4 linked regions of the Saccharomyces cerevisiae S288C genome follow. The gene in region 1 interacts genetically with each later gene. Each region holds a gene or a part of one and is shown in the gene's direction. Other genes may lie near its edges. The genes, in order: SPO22, PEX18, HFM1 and MDL1.

The links.
Region 2: mutations in SPO22 (region 1) and PEX18 together harm fitness more than expected from each alone (negative genetic interaction), as found in Saccharomyces cerevisiae (2 studies listed by BioGRID).
Region 3: of SPO22 (region 1) and HFM1, changing one suppresses a phenotype caused by changing the other (phenotypic suppression), as found in Saccharomyces cerevisiae (one study listed by BioGRID).
Region 4: mutations in SPO22 (region 1) and MDL1 together harm fitness more than expected from each alone (negative genetic interaction), as found in Saccharomyces cerevisiae (2 studies listed by BioGRID).

What each region holds. Positions count from the first base shown.
Region 1 is NC_001141.2:221,773-227,733, reverse strand, and holds SPO22 (Spo22p), read left to right. Parts: upstream 1-1,779; coding exon 1,780-1,834; intron 1,835-1,924; coding exon 1,925-4,797; downstream 4,798-5,961. Other genes in the region: HOP1 (Hop1p), read right to left, coding at 1-1,132; phosphoglycerate dehydrogenase SER33, read left to right, coding at 5,244-5,961. UniProt on the Saccharomyces cerevisiae protein: Involved in chromosome segregation during sporulation.
Region 2 is NC_001140.6:418,501-422,271, reverse strand, and holds PEX18 (Pex18p), read left to right. Parts: upstream 1-2,199; coding exon 2,200-3,051; downstream 3,052-3,771. Other genes in the region: YAP1801 (Yap1801p), read left to right, coding at 1-1,899; TDA11 (Tda11p), read right to left, coding at 3,209-3,771. UniProt on the Saccharomyces cerevisiae protein: Involved in peroxisome biogenesis and the import of peroxisomal matrix proteins that contain the peroxisomal targeting sequence PTS2. Required for peroxisomal targeting of PEX7 and growth on oleate.
Region 3 is NC_001139.9:27,142-33,821, reverse strand, and holds HFM1 (DNA helicase), read left to right. Parts: upstream 1-2,185; coding exon 2,186-2,243; intron 2,244-2,395; coding exon 2,396-5,901; downstream 5,902-6,680. Other genes in the region: ZIP2 (Zip2p), read right to left, coding at 1-724; RMR1 (Rmr1p), read right to left, coding at 1,187-1,912; RTG2 (Rtg2p), read left to right, coding at 6,338-6,680. UniProt on the Saccharomyces cerevisiae protein: DNA-dependent ATPase and 3'-5' DNA helicase. Required in the control of double strand break transition and crossover during meiosis. ATPase is slightly better stimulated by single-stranded (ss) than double-stranded (ds)DNA.
Region 4 is NC_001144.5:526,303-531,249, forward strand, and holds MDL1 (ATP-binding cassette permease MDL1), read left to right. Parts: upstream 1-1,997; coding exon 1,998-4,085; downstream 4,086-4,947. Other genes in the region: SKG3 (Skg3p), read left to right, coding at 1-1,643; ATG26 (sterol 3-beta-glucosyltransferase), read right to left, coding at 4,495-4,947. UniProt on the Saccharomyces cerevisiae protein: Mediates export of peptides with molecular masses of 2100 to 600 daltons generated upon proteolysis of mitochondrial inner membrane proteins.

The sequences.
Region 1 (5,961 bases):
GTCCAAAAATGCAAGTAAAGCATTTCTCAATTGACGAATGTAGAAAATTGCCATAACAGATGCCGTGTAGTGTTTTACGGCAACTTTTACAAGTCTTTAACACGGTGGCTGCTTTGGGAACTTCCAATCCACATTCGCAACTACAAATGCCCGTGACTGGGTTATTTGAAACAAATTGAGTTGGTTGTATACTTGCTTGCGAAGAATTTAAAAGATTTCCAAGCACATTGGTTGTTTGGCTTGTGACAAAATTCTGGGGTTTTGTAGGAACAGATTCTTCAAGTTTATTTTCTTCTTGTTGTTGCAAAATTAAATCAAAGGGGTCTACTCTAATAAAGTTCGTGTTCCCAGCTTTTTCCATACTGGATGTTGCCGCCGACAAAACAGAAAGAGCAACTTTATGATGCTTCGTGTTCAGAGTACCGACGTCAATAGCATCGTTGTCTAAATTTGTGGGGACCTTTAAAGTTGCTCTTTTGTCAAAAGTCGCGTCTTTGAACAACTCCGGCTGATAATCTTCATCGACGTTATCATTAAACATCAACCTCATAGTGAGGAACTTTTTTTGGGGTAAAGGTTCCAGGGATTGGGTAATTATGATAAATCGTCTCATTAACTGTTGAACCATCCTTCTCGAATCTAGTAAAGAAATTGTCTCGTTCTCTGGGTCGGCATTTTTGCTCCCTTTTTTATTGCCACTCAAGTTTACATTAATATTGACATTATTCTCTTCGTCATAATCAAAACTAAAAATGTAATTTTCTAGGAGATCGGTGGGATCCTCTAGAAATATACCTAATGATAGGGCTTTTAAACACTTTAAACGAATGGATTTGAAAACTCCCTTCTCCAACCAATCCAGTAATAAATCTGCTTGAGCCGATTTGCCCCTAATTAATGTCTTGATTTTGATAGAGTTATTTTGAGACGTGTTTTGCTTATTGTAGTTTTTTTCAACTTTCTCCGGTACAAACCGTTGGTCAACAAATATATCATCAGGGAACAACCCCCTGAGAAAGGCTAAACAACCAAAAGACATTGTGAGCATTGTTTGGAGCAGTTTTTGAGACTGTTCAGTAGTTATTTCTGTCTTTGTCTCTGTTTTTGGCTTTACTAGTTGTTTATTAGACATAATTCCTGACTTTTCTGAGATAAAGCTGTTTTTAAACCGTTTATAAGTGTATTATATTATATTGTTAATTACAAAAATGAAATATGATCATAGGAAACTGCAGTCAATTTCTTTCTTTATCCTGCCCTTTCTCTGTTGTTTCAACTATATATAAAGTACAATTTAGCCGCCCAGGTTAAAAACATATATCACTTCACACGTAGATCTTCCCTTTACTTTCAACAGACTAGCGTGTGTTGAAAGTTTTGATAACCTGGCGCTTTAAATTGAGGGGGGCAATCATTCAAAATTCAGTTGGTTCAAGAAGAAAATGAAAGGCCAATCATCTGATTTTCAATGGAAATAATCATGAGTGAAATCCATTTCTTTGGGTCCTGTATATGTCTTGTAAATCACGTCTTCTTGGACCAGCGGCTTTTATATAATTTTCACACTAATTCATCCTGTTTTTTATATGTTTAATGGTGATTTCACCAGATTTGTTACCTGGTTCATTTTCATTTTCGTACGGAATACAAACTTCGGCGGCTAATTGCAAATAAATAAAAAGAGAAAAGAGCGAAGCTTTTTAGTGAGTGTTCCATGAATAATGACACTTCTAGTAATATTAGTAAAAGGCTATGTTCTAAAGTGATCAACAAGTTTCAATGTCAGACCACAACGTTAACTCCACTTTTAGAAAAACTTTGGTCGAGTTATGCGGTATATAACAAAATGCAAAACATACCCTTATTAACTTTTATCTGGACGAGCAATAGCAACTAACAGCTTTATTATTTTAATAATATAAAGAAACTGCAACTTGGATAACATCGCAAGTTTATGCGGCTAAGAATTTAGAGAAAAACGATTTGATTACAGTAGATAATAAAATAAGCGCATTGTATCCCATTGCAGAAAAATATGATAGATCATTCAGAACCACTACAGTTATATTAGACGAAGAACTTATCCTGAAATTGGAAAATGCAGCATCAAGTCTATGGAATTCGTTGACTATTGCTATGAAAGCTGAAAAAGCTTCAGACAAATATTTTAATGAAGTCTTTTGCAAATGTAAGATTTTCGCAACCAAGCTTCTCTCCATCCATGAGGCTTTGTTTCGGACAAACACCAACCTCCTACGGAACTTCAAATGTTATATCAGTTCTTTCAAAAGCGCTAGTGAGTATCGTTTTGACGATTTAATAACTAATACACAGCAGCATTCAGAGAAATACTTACAGATAATCAATGAGAATGTGGAAAGTTTCTCCAATGAAGAGAAAACTGAGTTTAAAAAACTGACGTTCGAGTTTTACTTGGTAAATTTTCAATTATATCTTTCGGAAAATGACCTGGATACAGCAAATATTTACACTGCAAAAGTAAACATCACTGATAATTCCAAATATATGGACGCAGATTTGCTCATCGAATTATGCAGAATGATCTATAATTCCACAGTTATGTTGAAAGAAATTAATAATCCTGAAACTCAGTTAGTAGACGTAAATATAATTTCTTTTTTGAAGGATGTGGAAAAATATTTGGAGTTACCTGTGGAAAATTTAAAATCTCATACTGATTATAGTAATTTAAAGTATTCAGTTTTGATTTTTATGGCAAATTGTTTGGTTGAAGGACACCCACAAGCTTCTGAACTTGAACAATGTGATCACTATTTAAGTCTTTTGCAAAATGAATATCCAAACAAAGTGGACCCTTTTATATTGGCTATCAATTTAACTAAACGGAGAAATATCGTAAATCCGGCAGAAACCATAGAGGAAATTCTCATGCGAATGATTATGTCAGTAGATGTAATATCCAATTTTCAAGCTGTCATAGCTTCTATCAATGACTTATCAAAAATGAACACCAAATTCTCTATAGTGTGTCTCGATTATTTGTTAATCAATAAACTGAATTCTAAGAATGATAGTAAATTCTTAGGAAAAGCCATTTGCTCCAGGTTTTTAATTACAACACAATCAAAAACAATGAATGATTCCGAGATAGCGGAAAGCTTAGAGAATTTTAGCACACAGATGGAAAGAATAGTTTCAGAACCCCTCACCAAACATGCTATCTCTTGCATAATAACTTTATTATGGAATACTGGAAAAAAGTTAGAAAAGATGGAAAAATACGTTGTTAGTATTAGATTTTACAAATTAGCACTCAAAGATATTATCAGTCAAAATTATTCCGACCGGGGGAAAATTCAAAGGGCTCTACAAGTCGTATATAACAAAATTGAAGACTATTCCAACACAGTTAGAGTATATCAGGATATGGACGAAGTAGATAGACAATCTCCTCTGTGTCAACTTTTGATGTTGCAGTCTTTTCTAGCGGATGATAAAACAGAGGAAGCGCTTACGTGCCTCCAGAAGATAAAGTCGTCTGAAGATGAAAAAAGTACAGACGCTCTTATATTAGCAGTAGCAGAATGCAAACGAAAGACAGATTTGTCTGTTCAAGGGCTCTTAATGATATTTGACAAATTACAATCTAAAAGCAATTCGCAAACTATATCATCTACGTCGAGTTCTCAGACACTGAGCATTCTCAGGTATACCCTACAGATGATTGTCAAAGTATCGGAAGAGGAGCCTTTAGAAACCTTCATAAATTATTTACCAACAGTACAGAAACTTTTACAGAAGGCTGTCGAGTTTCTCAAAACTGTAAAGTTACTAAATCAATTACCACCAGACGTTGAGAAGGAAGCAATATATCAGCAATCAGTGGCTGTAAACGAAATCGAGTGGTTTGCCTCTTTTTCCTATAATGTGGCTGTAAAATGCTTAGTTGATCAGTCCTGTGAATCCATCTCCGAGTTTCCCCAGTATTGCATTCAATTTATTGACCTTATTCCGGTCCAAGACTTCACTTTCCCGAAAATGTATCATTTCACATATTGGAGGTTCAAAGCCACAATCTTGCAGTTGATAATAGCCAAAGAAAAAGCAAAGCAAGACCAACACCAAAAGGATTGGGATATTTATGAGAAGTCAGAAGAGTTGGTTAATAGCATAAATGTTATGAAGAAAAGCTCGGAATTTAAGGATGGGTCATCATTGGAAGATAGAAATACATTACATGAATGTTTCCTGGAGGCGTTGACTATACATCTGGAAAGTGCCTTAATGATGCCTGATCAAACTAGGATTCTGGACATATTGAAGAAAACGGAATTGTATCAAGATAGCCGCGTGGATGCGCTACTTATTGATATCTCGTCGAATATGGAAGATTTACCTAAAGGAGTTCTCATAGAGATACTTGAAACAGTATTAAAAAGAAACATGGGCCCTGAAGTGAAAGAACGGGAACTCTGTAGCTGGCTGCGAATTTTACTGGAAAATGCAATTAATCTTAACCATGAGGTCGAACTACGCATATTGGATAGGGTTCTTAAGATCCTAAATATAAATCAATCAAGTCTTCAAGACACAGATGGTGTCCTTCAAACAGAGTTAGAAACTATAGCCACTTACTGTTGGAATATCGGCGTCAATTACATAATCAAAGACAACAAAAGCAATGGAATTGTTTGGTGTAAACATTCAATGGGGTTCGCAAACATGGTTAATGAAGGCTTGCAGGAGCAATTGTACTCTTTATGGGAGTCTTTAGCAAGTTCGGCAAATATCGATATCAATAGTATTGCTAAATAAACCTTTTTTATTCCATTTACTGTCGTTTATACTGGCTGACCCTTAATTCCCTAGCAATCTTTGCCTGCACCCGTACCAGGAAGCGTGATAGAATCGGTAGCTACAAAATTTTTAGCATAGTTAATAAGTGCTATTGTTTTTCATAATGTCACGTGCACTATCAATAATATTACACTCTTGTTCTTGCCAAATATACACAAAATGCCACATTTTTTTCTTTACACCGAAGAATTTGGCCGTCAGCCGGACAGCGCTCAGATTAATTGTGGGCTAGATTCTTCACGCTGGAAACGAGTCACCGTTATGAAAACTAATGGAATCTCCCAGGTTTAATACATAAGAAGGTTACGAGCTACTACATTAAAAAATACTTTGTCTGTTTTAGCTGTAGATTATTGTAACATTAAAAAGTAACAAACACTGATTTCGGGTATTTCCTCCCTAACATGTCTTATTCAGCTGCCGATAATTTACAAGATTCATTCCAACGTGCCATGAACTTTTCTGGCTCTCCTGGTGCAGTCTCAACCTCACCAACTCAGTCATTTATGAACACACTACCTCGTCGTGTAAGCATTACAAAGCAACCAAAGGCTTTAAAACCTTTTTCTACTGGTGACATGAATATTCTACTGTTGGAAAATGTCAATGCAACTGCAATCAAAATCTTCAAGGATCAGGGTTACCAAGTAGAGTTCCACAAGTCTTCTCTACCTGAGGATGAATTGATTGAAAAAATCAAAGACGTACACGCTATCGGTATAAGATCCAAAACTAGATTGACTGAAAAAATACTACAGCATGCCAGGAATCTAGTTTGTATTGGTTGTTTTTGCATAGGTACCAATCAAGTAGACCTAAAATATGCCGCTAGTAAAGGTATTGCTGTTTTCAATTCGCCATTCTCCAATTCAAGATCCGTAGCAGAATTGGTAATTGGTGAGATCATTAGTTTAGCAAGACAATTAGGTGATAGATCCATTGAACTGCATACAGGTACATGGAATAAAGTCGCTGCTAGGTGTTGGGAAGTAAGAGGAAAAACTCTCGGTATTATTGGGTATGGTCACATTGGTTCGCAATTATCAGTTCTTGCAGAAGCTATGGGCCTGCATGTGCTATACTATGATATCGTGACAATTATGGCCTTAGGTACTGCCAGAC
Region 2 (3,771 bases), on another chromosome or scaffold:
AAGTTGGTAAAAGGTGCTACCAAGATCAAGTCAGCCCCGCCCAAACAGAAGTATCTGGATCCGATACTGTTGGGGACCAGCAATGAAGAGGATTTCTATGAGATCGTGAAGGGTTTGGATTCCCGAATTAATGACACGGCGTGGACTATTGTGTATAAATCGCTGTTGGTGGTTCATTTGATGATAAGGGAGGGTTCCAAAGATGTTGCATTGCGGTACTACTCTAGGAACCTGGAGTTTTTTGACATTGAAAACATACGTGGCTCCAATGGCAGTGCGTCTGGAGACATGAGGGCACTTGATAGATACGATAATTATCTGAAGGTGAGATGCAGGGAGTTTGGTAAAATCAAAAAGGACTATGTGAGAGACGGCTATCGAACACTGAAGCTGAACAGTGGCAATTACGGAAGCTCCAGAAACAAGCAACACTCTATCAATATAGCACTAGATCATGTGGAGTCCCTAGAGGTACAAATACAAGCCCTGATTAAAAACAAGTATACACAATATGATTTGAGTAACGAATTGATCATATTTGGTTTCAAGCTGCTTATTCAAGACCTGCTAGCGCTATATAATGCTCTCAACGAAGGTATCATAACTCTGCTGGAGTCTTTTTTCGAACTATCTCATCATAATGCAGAGAGAACTCTAGACCTGTACAAGACGTTTGTTGATTTGACCGAGCACGTTGTCAGGTACTTGAAGAGCGGGAAGACTGCGGGCTTGAAAATACCCGTCATCAAGCATATCACTACCAAACTGGTCAGATCGCTAGAAGAACATCTGATAGAGGATGATAAGACGCACAACACTTTTGTGCCCGTTGACAGTTCTCAAGGAAGTGCTGGGGCCGTAGTAGCCAAATCTACTGCACAGGAAAGGTTGGAGCAAATCCGGGAACAAAAAAGGATACTAGAGGCACAATTGAAAAACGAACAAGTAGCGATTTCCCCTGCTCTAACTACTGTCACGGCGGCTCAATCTTACAACCCGTTTGGAACAGACTCTTCTATGCATACTAACATTCCAATGGCTGTGGCTAATCAAACGCAACAGATCGCAAATAACCCATTTGTATCTCAAACTCAGCCACAGGTGATGAATACACCAACCGCTCATACAGAGCCCGCAAATTTAAACGTTCCTGAATATGCAGCGGTCCAACACACAGTGAACTTCAACCCTGTACAAGATGCTGGCGTAAGTGCCCAACAAACGGGGTACTATTCGATTAACAACCATTTAACACCCACATTTACAGGTGCAGGGTTTGGAGGATACTCCGTTTCACAGGATACAACTGCCGCTTCTAATCAACAAGTCTCTCATTCACAAACTGGTTCTAACAACCCGTTCGCATTGCACAACGCCGCGACGATCGCAACAGGGAATCCTGCACACGAAAATGTCTTAAATAACCCATTTTCACGACCAAACTTTGATGAACAAAATACCAATATGCCGCTACAACAACAGATAATAAGTAACCCTTTTCAAAACCAAACGTACAATCAACAACAATTTCAACAACAAAAAATGCCTTTGAGCTCGATCAATAGCGTTATGACAACCCCTACTAGCATGCAGGGATCGATGAATATTCCTCAGCGTTTTGATAAAATGGAATTTCAGGCTCACTACACTCAGAATCATCTCCAACAACAGCAACAACAGCAACAGCAACAACAGCAACAGCAACAACAGCAACCACAACAGGGTTATTATGTGCCTGCAACTGCAGGAGCCAACCCTGTTACAAATATAACTGGGACAGTTCAACCTCAAAATTTCCCTTTCTATCCACAACAGCAACCACAACCGGAACAGTCTCAAACACAGCAACCAGTTTTAGGAAACCAATATGCTAACAACCTCAATTTAATTGATATGTAATATCTAGTATAATCAGGTATGTAAGGGAGTACTCAAGTGCATCTTTGGATAGCTATATATAGTTGTAAGGAAGAGCTATGTAATTTTTGCCATTTTGTACATATTTTGCATTTGTCCTATAGTATGTAATACTTACATCTTACTGTCTTCAATTCCTCCCGCCAACAAAAGATTTCGATAGCGCCGCACCATGGAGTTTATATTGTTATTTCCGAGACGACCTATATAAGGGAAAAGACGAAAACTGGGTATTTGATACTTGTCTAAACTTCAATGGACAAATGATATAAAATACAAACAATGAATAGTAACCGATGCCAAACGAATGAGGTGAATAAATTTATTAGTAGTACAGAAAAGGGGCCTTTTACGGGCAGGGACAATACGCTCTCTTTTAACAAAATCGGGAGCAGACTGAATTCACCACCGATTCTGAAGGATAAAATTGAGCTGAAATTTCTACAACACTCAGAAGATTTGAATCAATCACGGTCCTACGTAAATATTCGTCCTAGAACCTTAGAGGATCAAAGTTACAAATTTGAAGCGCCAAATCTAAATGACAATGAAACTTCTTGGGCCAAGGATTTTAGATATAACTTCCCTAAGAATGTTGAACCGCCCATCGAAAATCAAATCGCGAATCTTAATATAAACAACGGGCTACGGACATCTCAGACAGATTTTCCCTTAGGCTTTTATTCACAGAAAAACTTTAACATTGCTTCCTTCCCTGTGGTTGACCATCAGATATTCAAGACAACAGGTTTAGAACATCCTATCAACAGCCACATTGATTCTTTAATTAATGCTGAATTTTCGGAACTGGAAGCCAGTAGTTTGGAAGAAGATGTCCATACAGAAGAGGAAAATTCAGGTACGAGTCTGGAAGATGAAGAAACTGCCATGAAAGGTTTGGCTTCCGATATAATTGAGTTTTGCGATAATAATAGTGCCAATAAAGATGTAAAAGAAAGACTAAACAGTTCAAAGTTTATGGGGCTGATGGGCAGCATTAGTGATGGTTCTATAGTTTTAAAGAAGGATAACGGTACAGAAAGAAACCTTCAAAAACACGTAGGTTTTTGTTTTCAGAATTCAGGAAACTGGGCTGGTCTTGAGTTCCATGATGTTGAAGACAGAATTGCTTAACGGGCCTTGAAATTTCTTTAATTTAAACCATGAATTTCAGATATATAACACTTTTTAACCACTTTCAAGAGAAAACAGTATTAAATTACATACTGCGTTCACAGCTATACGTAAAAAGAGTGACAAGTGAAGAATAAACGTCATTTTGAAAAAGGAATTAGAAGTCTGTCATTTCAACTGAGTTTTTGACGGAGGAATTATCATTATCGGGTTCTCCAATAAAACTTAGCTTGTTACTACTTCTTTTACTTTTTTTTTCTCGTGTTCGATGTCCACTTTCATCTGTGAGACTATTATTCCCAGCATTGTCTTTCTGGAACTTAGTTGTCGTTTTAAATTTCCTCATGTTTAAACTAGAATCGTCGCCACTATCTTCTGCTTGCCCCCGGTTCGTAATTTTATGTGTACTTTTTTTCTGTTCATGCTGTCTATCGCTTTTATATACAGGATCACATCTGTTATCAGTAATAACATCATTATCGTTTTCTTCTTCTATACCGAGTAATCCGGCCTTGACATCGCTAACAAAGCTCCAAAGCGACCTGGAGACTGATCCTTGCGAAGGAGATTTTTGGCGAGCTCCAGGTGCTTCATTATCGTACTGTTGCGCGGACGACTCGCTATTACTAGTCGGTGTCCCTTCCTGTACCTCAGGCGTACCTGAAAGAGAGTCATCCCAATTCAGAGTTCTTTCAATTTCATGCTGAATGATTTTATCAA
Region 3 (6,680 bases), on another chromosome or scaffold:
TGAAATTGTACTTACTGCACCTACTCTTATATTTGAAAGATTTCTCAGGTGAGATCCGTTGTAAACGGTATCTATTGTAGGTTTGCTCAAAAATTTGGGGCTTCCATTCTGACAAAGGTTTATCAGAAAATCCAACGCAGAAGTTCAACTTTTCCTCCGTTAGTGTGCTGCATTGCACTTCCAGTACAGAGGACATTTGTCTTAAACTCGGATATGGTACCTTTTTCCTGTATTGACTTCTTCTGAGAAGTGGGATGTTGAACCACTCTAACCTCGTGTTATCGTCTGCCAAACCGTGTTCCGTCATTTTTTGGTGAAGAGGAGCATTTAATTGAACTGAAAGACTTTTCATCCAGCTAAAAAATAACATGTCCTGTTTCCCGACTTTTAACTTTTCCTTGAATAACTCATACTGTAGTTCTTCTTTGTTGTCATTCTCAATGTTAGTCACATTCCATGTTTTGCCAACGGCTACATCTATTTTTTGTCTTCCAGAGGTGATGTGAATTACCTCCAAAAAATACTCTTCACCATTGATCGTGCCGCAGTTTTCATACCCTCCGATTTTCAGTGGTTTAAGTTGCAAATTTCTTAGCTCTTTCAAATATTTTTGTGCTCGTCTTCCCAGTTTGATGTTTTCTTTTAAGTTTCCTGACAGAACAGAATAGCCGCCCACATTTTGGTTACATTTAGATAACTTTACTTCCCAACGTTCAATAATCATAGTATTTTTGTAATATGATCTATTTCTCTAAATTGATTCAATTACTCGAGCTCGTTAACAATGGTGTGGCACTATTGAGTGATTTTCTTCTCCTGAAACATATTTTATGCTTGTATTTTACATATCCTAACAGAAAATACTTTCAGCAATTCTTCCGAAAGTAAAACTTGAAAAAAATTGAAGAAAATGACGAAAAAACAATACAAAACAATAATACAATTCGCTACAAAAAAGGGGGAAGGGCTATCAGAAATCGAATATGGACCTTTGCATCATCCAAAATTAATGAATACTTAACTGCTGACTATACAAACGAAAAAGAAGGCGACCTTAAATATTACACAGAGCCAATAATTTATTCGCGGGAGAAGATTCTCAAAAGGAATCCGTGACTGGGAAATCAGAAACTCACCGTTGGACATCAGGATTTCCCACGATCAGTGCTGATTAAACATGGCTACTTTAGTCTTCAGAATCCTCACCTACGTCATCATCTATGTCCATTACAATGACTTCTGAAGTATTCTGGTGTGTATATTGGTCATTGTCATCCACAATTAAGGGATGCGTTTCATCGTTAGAAAATGGCTTTATGTTTTTCAACGTAGCTGAGCTTTCAGTTAATTCAACCAAGGCGTTGTACCGAGAGACAAATCTTGGCCTTGTACTTAATTCAATAGCCAAGTGCGTCGGTATATCAGTTTCAAAATTAGACTCCGATCTTTCCTTCAGGATTTTAAATATAGTATAAACATCGCTGAATGAAATATGGTTGTTGTAGACATTATCTTCGAACAAGGTCAAATCGAGGCTTTTCAGTTGTAAAACCAACTCCTTCGTAGCAAAAGCCAACCTGCCAAAACGATTTCCCATAAATTTACGAATGGATTCCATGAATTCCCCCATGGGTCGCTGATAAAGAGCAGCGTTTTCACATATTATGGGGTTGTTACTTTCGTTCTTATCATCCGACGTGAACAACAGAAATGTAGTATCTTTATATTCCACGGTGACTTTGGGCAATTCGCTTTTCATTAAAGTCTCTGCCACGTTGCGTATACGGGCGTCCGATGGTTGTTCCTCCACGAGTTCATCATCATACTCCAAAAGGTCTTCTTCATCGCCCTCATCCAATTGAACCCCGACGTCATCCACCTCCACTGTTTTATGCGCTTCTTCTTCACTCATCTTTGATTCCATTGATACCAACAAAAACAATCTTTAACTACGTATCTTTTCCTTTACGTATATATAATTAATCATATATACTTCCCTTTTTTATGCCTTGTTGTAGTTTTAACATATCATGTACCACGAATGGATGCAGGCTCGGCGGGTATTTAGACTTTGCCCCGGATTATAAACAAAACGGGACTATTAGTATCATCTATCAAGAAATCCTTTCATTGAAAATGATTGATACCTCAAGGTGGATTTGACAACTTAAGAGGCGTCGTAAGGATGAAAACAAAGTTTGATCGCCTCGGTACAGGAAAAAGAAGTAGACCCTCTCCAAATAGTAGTAACGAAGCTTAGCAACACCCTTATCAGTTTACACCATATCGGACAACAACAGTATTTTGACTAACATTGTTACCTCTTTCTTTTATTATCTAGCGGAAATGCAACCAAAAGTGGTTTTTCTGGACTAGAATTTCAGAGGACTTATAGATATTGACTTTAACGACCAGTCTGCTACATTTAAAAGAAATAAGAAAAATAGCCGCCAACCAAGTTTTAAAGTAGGTTTGTCTTATAACAGTTTACTGGATGATTGTGATGATGAAAATGAAACAGAGGAAATATTTGAGGGCCGTGGTCTGCAATTCTTCGACAAAGACGATAATTTTTCAATAACAGCAGATGATACACAAGTAACTAGTAAATTATTTGATCACGATTTAGAGCAGACACCTGATGAAGAGGCGAAGAAACCTAAGAAGGTCACGATAAGGAAATCAGCGAAGAAATGTTTGAGCACGACCATATTACCAGATTCATTCAGAGGGGTTTTTAAATTTACAGAATTTAATAAAATGCAATCAGAGGCTTTTCCTAGTATTTATGAGAGTAACGAGAACTGCATAATTTCTTCACCAACCGGATCAGGCAAGACTGTATTATTTGAATTGGCAATATTACGTCTTATAAAGGAAACAAATAGTGATACCAATAACACCAAAATTATATACATCGCGCCAACCAAATCTCTATGTTACGAGATGTACAAGAACTGGTTTCCTTCCTTTGTGAATCTTTCTGTTGGTATGCTTACTAGTGATACCTCTTTTCTGGAAACTGAAAAGGCTAAAAAATGTAACATAATAATTACGACACCAGAAAAATGGGATTTGTTAACAAGAAGATGGTCCGATTACAGCCGATTATTCGAATTGGTCAAACTTGTCCTAGTTGATGAGATTCATACCATAAAGGAGAAAAGAGGAGCATCTTTGGAAGTAATTCTGACAAGGATGAATACAATGTGTCAAAACATTCGGTTTGTTGCTTTAAGTGCAACAGTTCCAAATATAGAAGACCTAGCATTGTGGCTCAAAACTAACAACGAGCTTCCTGCAAATATTCTTTCTTTTGACGAATCGTACAGGCAAGTTCAGTTAACGAAGTTTGTTTATGGGTACTCCTTCAATTGCAAAAATGACTTCCAAAAAGATGCTATATATAATTCCAAATTGATTGAAATAATTGAAAAGCATGCCGATAATCGTCCCGTACTAATATTTTGTCCGACTAGGGCTTCAACTATATCAACAGCAAAATTTTTATTAAATAATCATATTTTTTCAAAAAGTAAGAAAAGATGTAATCATAATCCCTCCGATAAAATATTAAATGAATGTATGCAACAAGGTATCGCTTTCCATCATGCTGGAATTTCTTTAGAAGACCGTACTGCCGTTGAGAAAGAATTTCTTGCAGGTTCAATTAATATATTGTGTTCAACTTCAACGTTAGCTGTTGGTGTGAACCTTCCCGCATATTTGGTCATTATCAAAGGCACCAAAAGTTGGAACTCTTCTGAAATCCAAGAGTATTCAGACCTAGATGTACTGCAAATGATTGGGCGGGCAGGAAGACCTCAATTTGAAACTCACGGGTGCGCAGTAATCATGACAGACTCTAAAATGAAGCAAACATATGAAAACTTAATTCATGGAACTGACGTTTTGGAAAGTTCATTACATTTGAATTTGATCGAGCATTTAGCAGCAGAAACCTCTTTGGAAACTGTATATTCAATTGAAACTGCAGTAAATTGGCTACGAAACACATTCTTTTACGTTAGATTTGGGAAGAATCCAGCTGCATATCAAGAGGTGAACAGATACGTTAGTTTTCATTCCGTTGAAGACTCTCAGATAAATCAATTCTGTCAGTATTTGCTTGACACCTTAGTAAAAGTGAAAATAATCGATATCAGCAATGGGGAGTACAAATCTACAGCGTACGGAAATGCAATGACGCGACATTATATATCCTTTGAGTCGATGAAACAATTCATTAACGCAAAAAAATTTCTATCATTACAAGGGATACTAAATTTACTGGCCACTTCTGAAGAGTTTTCAGTTATGAGGGTGAGGCACAATGAAAAAAAATTGTTCAAAGAAATCAATTTATCGCCACTTTTGAAATATCCATTTTTAACCGAGAAGAAACAGAGCCAAATAATTGACAGGGTTAGTCAAAAGGTTTCTCTTTTGATTCAATATGAGTTAGGTGGGTTAGAATTTCCATCATACGAAGGCGCTTCTAAACTACATCAAACTCTTGTTCAGGATAAATTCCTCGTTTTTAGACATTGTTTTAGATTACTAAAATGCATGGTAGACACATTTATTGAAAAAAGTGATGGAACATCACTGAAAAATACTTTGTTCTTACTGCGAAGCCTGAATGGTCACTGCTGGGAAAACACGCCAATGGTTCTTAGGCAATTGAAAACAATTGGACTAGTTTCAGTAAGAAGGCTAATACGACATGGAATTACCAATCTAGAAGAAATGGGGCATTTGTCAGATACTCAGATTGAATACTATCTTAACCTCAAGATTGGAAACGGCATAAAAATTAAAAACGACATTTCTTTGTTGCCTTGTCTGAATATTAGAACAAAACTAGAAAATTGCAAAATAGAAAATGAAGAGTTGTGGTTGACATTTAAAGTTGAGATTAGTGCAACATTCAAGTCTAGCATTTGGCATGGTCAGCACCTCTCATTAGATATCGAAACCGAGAAAAGCTCAGGAGAGTTAATCGACTTTAGAAGATTGCAAGTTAACAAACTACAGTCACCAAGGGGCTTTAGAATTTCAGCAAAAATATCACCAAAACTAGAAAAAATAGAATTCTCAATTCATTGCCAAGAAATCGCCGGACTCGGCAAAACAATCGTATATTCCACTGATCATTTGGCATCACAGTTCTCTGCGAAGACACCAAATATAAGGAAAGATCTAAATAGTTTAGAAAAATGCCTCTTCTATGAAAGCAGTAGTGACGGAGAAGTGGGGAAAACGTCTAGGGTTTCCCATAAAGATGGATTAGAAGAATCGCTATCCTCAGATGATAGTATACTAGATTATTTGAATGAAAGGAAGAAATCATCAAAGGCGGTTGAATCTGCAGCAGTTATTCACCCGGAGGCACACTCTTCTTCACATTTTAGTAATGGCCGCCAAGTAAGATCTAATGGCAATTACGAGTGTTTTCATAGCTGCAAAGACAAAACGCAATGCAGACATTTATGTTGTAAAGAGGGTATTCCAGTAAAGTATATAAAAGAAAAAGGACCCTCCTCAATCAAGCCAGTATCAAAACCTGATCAAATACGCCAGCCACTGCTTGCAAAAAATATCAACACAACCCCTCACCTGGAAAAAAGACTGAATAGTAAACCAAAGCAGTGGCAAGAAGAAAATACAGATATTGCGACAGTTCATACACTTCCTTCAAAAATTTATAATCTATCGCAACAGATGTCGTCTATGGAAGCGGGTGAACAAGTCCTAAAATCAGGCCCCGAAAACTGCCCTGAAATAATTCCTATTGATCTTGAATCATCCGATAGTTATTCTAGTAATACAGCGGCGAGCTCAATAAGTGATCCGAATGGTGATCTGGATTTCTTGGGTTCCGATATAGAGTTTGAATGAGCGGCATGGCCGGGAACAATAGACATTACTGATATTCATTACCCCAATCCTTTCTGTTATTTGTATTGCTTCCCAACAGAAGTTAGCATGTGTGAGAGTTTACTTATAATGCTTTGTTTTTAAAATGCAGCCAGTGGTGAAACAATTGGAACCTTTACTATTTATTAGGGAACAAGATGACATTGTCAATTGATATATTACTATTGTTACATATCGTGCTATTTATCATTTCAATTATTAGTCACATGACCGCGATAAGCGATCCGGGTCAGAATGCCGAGATAGGATAACTTTGCCGGCGGAGTTCCTAGATCAATTGAAAGAATCGAAGTGAGATTAGTAATTCATTCATATGTACCTTTTAAAAAAGAAACTCACTCTTGGAAGTGTCCTTTACTAAGGATTGTTTTGAACGAAAAGTGTAGGCGTGCCACAAATGTCAACACTTAGCGATAGTGATACCGAGACTGAGGTCGTGTCGAGAAACTTGTGTGGAATCGTCGACATAGGTTCTAATGGTATTCGTTTTAGTATATCTTCCAAGGCTGCACATCATGCAAGAATTATGCCTTGTGTTTTTAAAGATAGGGTTGGTCTTTCTCTATACGAAGTTCAATATAATACACATACGAACGCAAAATGCCCTATTCCCAGAGATATTATAAAAGAGGTTTGTTCTGCCATGAAGAGATTCAAATTAATTTGCGATGATTTTGGTGTACCTGAAACTAGTGTCAGAGTAATTGCAACAGAAGCCACGCGAGATGCTATTAACGCGG
Region 4 (4,947 bases), on another chromosome or scaffold:
CTCTCCCTGAAAGACAAATGGAAAGTCCGCAAAAATCTAAGATGAAGTCTCCTACATTAGCATCGACCGATGATATTAATTCCGCTTCTGCTTCCGTAAACTCACATGCTACCTCAGTAAAACAAACTGAATTATTTGTGACTGATAATTCTTCAAAAATCAATGACTCTGTGTCGGCGCAGTCCAGTGTCACTACTAACTTCAAAGATACTTTTACCACCCCAATGACATCAGGAATGCTCAACCATGAAAATTCAGAGAGAAGCTTTGGTTCAGGATTAAAACTCAAAATCACTGATTCAAATTTGGAAAATATGGAAGACGTTGAAGCGAAATCTGCTAACGAATTCTCTACGACACCAGAAGACAAACATATTCACCTCGCCAATGCAGCCGAATTATCCGCCCTTTACGACAAATATTCCACATCTCCGTTTGGTAAATCGGAGGCTAATTCAAGCCCTAAACCTCAAAAATTGGAAGTTAAAGATCGGTCAAAAAATGAAAACAGAAGCCCCTATGAGAGATACGTAGGTACATCCGCTGAAAGCAAGACATTTGAAATAGGTAACGTCAGAGAGTCGAAAAGTACGATAAATACTTCCCTTTCTTCGCCTTTGAGGGTAGAAGATAGTAGACGTTCAAAAAATGAGGACCTGGGATCTTTGAAAGAGTTTGAAGAGTTATCTCAAAAGATTAGCAATATGGGAATGGCAAATATTTCTTCAGAAGCTTTAAGTGACACAGCAGAAAACAGTTCTTTTGTTACGGACCTGAACTTGAATATCAATAACAGTTCATCGGTCAATCTCAATGAAGAACAACGTGTGCCGGATTTTGGGGAGGAAAACGTATTTGATCCAGATTATATGGAACAAAACCAAATGTTGGAAACAGAAAGTAGGTACACTACGGATGAGTTTGACTTTTCAGATAATCAGGATGCAGCATCCAGTAATTATAGCAATGGGCAAACCAACCGAACAGTAACTGAAACCCTTTCTGCCAGTGACAGAAATGACAAGATCCCACATTCTTCTTTATTTACAAACTTAAACCAGCTTACTTCGAATGGAGGAAACTATCAGGATAGGGAAGATTTCTCTGGTGATCAAATAAACAAACCTCAACAATCTCAACCACTTCATGTGAAAGGACCACAAACTTCGTCATTTGGTTACAGAAATTCTTCAGCCAATAGCTCGCAGCCTCAAGCACCATACCCGGTTGGTCGCCCGTTAGGTAAGATAAGAACGGGTCCGCTGACCGTCCAGCCTATGCAACAAGGTGGAAACTCATCAATGTATTCTTTCCAATCTTCGCAACATCGGTTTCATTCGTCGCAACAGCGCCAAAACCAATCACTTTCCTTCAGAAACAATACCTATGGAAGTGGTAACAATCAAAATACATTCCATCCATCGCCGCAACTGCAACAACAGCCTCAAAATATGAGATATTTGAATAATAAGTTACCAATAAATGATAGATCTCCAATACCGCAAACACAGCACCATGTACCAGATGGCCGTCCCAGCCTCCATATAAATACCACTAACCGCACAAATCCGCTTACTGCACAAAGTGGATTTTCTCAATTTATGCCTCCCAATAGCACATCAACCAACCCATATTCCAGCTGATTCATTTATATTTCATCTTTTCTTTTTTTTTTTTTTACAATTCAGTAGTTTTATATAACTTCCCATAAATGTATTATTTTTTTAATACGACTATAATATACCTCTATACCCTTATTTATCTCTTTACCTTTGCTTTTAAGCTAAACAAATCTTCATTAACAGGTATTATATTACTGGCGTCGCGTTTCGTTTAGGCGCATCGAGCCGAGACTTCAGAATCACAAATGCTTTGTATATATGTTACGTATTCAGTATTGCCCAACATGCAACTAGATTCAACTAAGCAGACGTGGGTACTTACATGAGAAGCAGATCATTGAAATTTTACTAAGTTAAAGAAGAGGAAGGGCTCCAATGATTGTAAGAATGATACGTCTTTGTAAAGGTCCAAAGTTGTTGCGAAGTCAATTCGCATCAGCAAGTGCACTATATTCAACCAAGTCATTGTTCAAACCTCCCATGTACCAAAAAGCGGAAATTAATTTGATTATTCCACATAGAAAGCACTTTTTGTTGCGGTCGATTCGATTACAATCAGACATTGCGCAAGGAAAGAAGTCCACCAAGCCCACTTTAAAGTTGTCCAATGCAAATTCAAAATCCTCGGGGTTTAAAGACATTAAACGGCTATTCGTCTTATCTAAACCGGAATCCAAGTACATTGGTCTTGCCCTCCTTTTAATCCTCATTTCAAGTTCAGTTAGTATGGCTGTACCTTCCGTTATCGGTAAATTATTAGACTTGGCTTCCGAAAGTGACGGCGAAGATGAAGAGGGCTCAAAAAGCAATAAGTTATATGGTTTTACGAAGAAGCAATTTTTCACAGCATTAGGAGCAGTATTTATAATTGGAGCAGTTGCTAATGCAAGCAGAATCATCATTTTAAAGGTCACCGGTGAGAGACTGGTCGCAAGATTAAGAACGAGAACAATGAAAGCTGCATTAGATCAAGATGCCACATTTTTAGATACTAATCGTGTCGGTGATTTGATCTCAAGATTATCATCTGATGCATCTATAGTGGCCAAATCGGTCACACAAAACGTCTCTGATGGAACAAGGGCAATTATTCAAGGGTTTGTCGGTTTTGGCATGATGAGCTTCCTCTCGTGGAAATTGACTTGCGTAATGATGATTTTAGCCCCTCCTTTAGGTGCTATGGCACTGATATATGGTAGGAAAATACGAAACCTATCAAGACAGTTACAAACCTCAGTAGGTGGGTTAACAAAAGTGGCAGAAGAGCAATTAAATGCTACTAGGACAATTCAAGCATATGGTGGTGAAAAAAACGAGGTTCGCCGCTATGCAAAAGAGGTTAGAAATGTATTTCATATTGGTCTGAAGGAAGCGGTTACTTCCGGTTTATTCTTCGGAAGTACTGGGCTAGTTGGCAACACTGCAATGCTGTCGTTATTATTGGTTGGAACAAGCATGATTCAAAGTGGTTCAATGACTGTCGGTGAATTATCTAGTTTCATGATGTATGCCGTGTATACCGGAAGTTCATTATTTGGTTTATCGAGCTTCTATTCAGAACTTATGAAAGGTGCTGGTGCGGCTGCCAGGGTTTTTGAATTAAATGACCGTAAGCCATTGATTCGTCCGACTATTGGAAAGGATCCTGTGTCATTAGCCCAAAAACCCATCGTTTTCAAAAACGTGTCATTCACTTATCCCACTCGGCCCAAACACCAGATTTTCAAGGATTTGAATATTACTATCAAGCCTGGTGAACACGTTTGCGCTGTCGGTCCATCAGGAAGCGGCAAATCAACAATTGCGTCTTTGTTGCTCAGGTACTACGATGTGAACTCAGGATCGATCGAATTTGGTGATGAAGACATCAGAAATTTCAACTTGAGGAAGTATCGAAGACTAATAGGATACGTGCAACAAGAACCACTACTTTTCAATGGGACTATTCTGGACAATATCCTCTACTGCATTCCGCCTGAAATTGCGGAGCAGGATGATCGTATTAGACGTGCTATTGGAAAAGCTAATTGCACAAAATTTTTGGCCAATTTTCCAGATGGATTGCAGACTATGGTTGGTGCTAGAGGCGCGCAATTGTCCGGTGGTCAAAAGCAAAGAATTGCATTAGCTAGAGCGTTTTTACTAGATCCTGCCGTCCTTATTTTAGATGAAGCAACCAGTGCCCTTGACTCTCAAAGTGAAGAAATAGTTGCCAAAAATCTTCAGAGACGTGTGGAAAGGGGGTTCACTACTATATCAATTGCACATAGGCTTTCGACGATCAAACACAGTACTAGGGTGATTGTGTTAGGAAAACATGGCTCAGTGGTTGAAACCGGTTCATTCCGAGATCTAATCGCCATTCCTAATAGTGAACTAAATGCGCTGCTTGCCGAACAGCAGGACGAGGAAGGAAAAGGGGGAGTGATAGATTTGGACAATAGTGTTGCCCGGGAAGTATAAGAAGTTGCCGCAGTATGGAATCACTTTTCTATGCCACAGTTATGGTATGTGTTGGAAGACAATTAATTATCGCATTATGTTTGCTGAATATGAAATTGTGTATTCTATAATTTAAATGATGCCCAATGTAATTTACACAAACAGTTTTTTTTTAAAGCTCCTTGTACGCCTTTATACACATTAAATTAATATTAGATGCACAACATACGGTACGTTTAGGAAACTCAAATTAAGCTTTATTTTTTTACTTTTTTATTATTGTTACTATTATTCTTATTATCAACATTATCGTTTTCATATCTTTCCTGAGTACAAATATGACTGAAACTTACAAAAAAAAAATTAATTATTTATTACTATTAATGATTAGATGTTACGCTTTTTTATAAAAGTGAGAGTGATACTCGGTTTAAATCATCGTCCACCCTTCATCCGTTGTTTCAGCAGGTGTCAGTTTGGTTGCATCTACATTTTCCTCTTTCTTGCGCGGAGTTTTCACTCTTGATAAAGTAACGCTTCTTGCATACTCAAGTTCGTTGTAAATTGCACTTATTGCAGTTTTAATCCCATCTTCTTTGGAAATTTTCTTCTTTATTAATCCAGCTCTATCCTTCATTATTTTGTTCGTCGTAGCTACTTTTAAAGCATCTGCTAATGTTTGAGCGTTAAGTTTCTTTAAAGCAATACCAACTCCAATGTCTTCTACTCTACCTGCATAAAAGAACTGATCACCAAAGAAAGGTTTTATAACAGTAGGTAAACCAGCACGTAATGAAGCTCCAGTAGTTCCAGAACCACCATGGTGAACGGCAGCATCGACTTGTGGGAACAACCAATCATGGGGAACGTTTCCGATATTTAA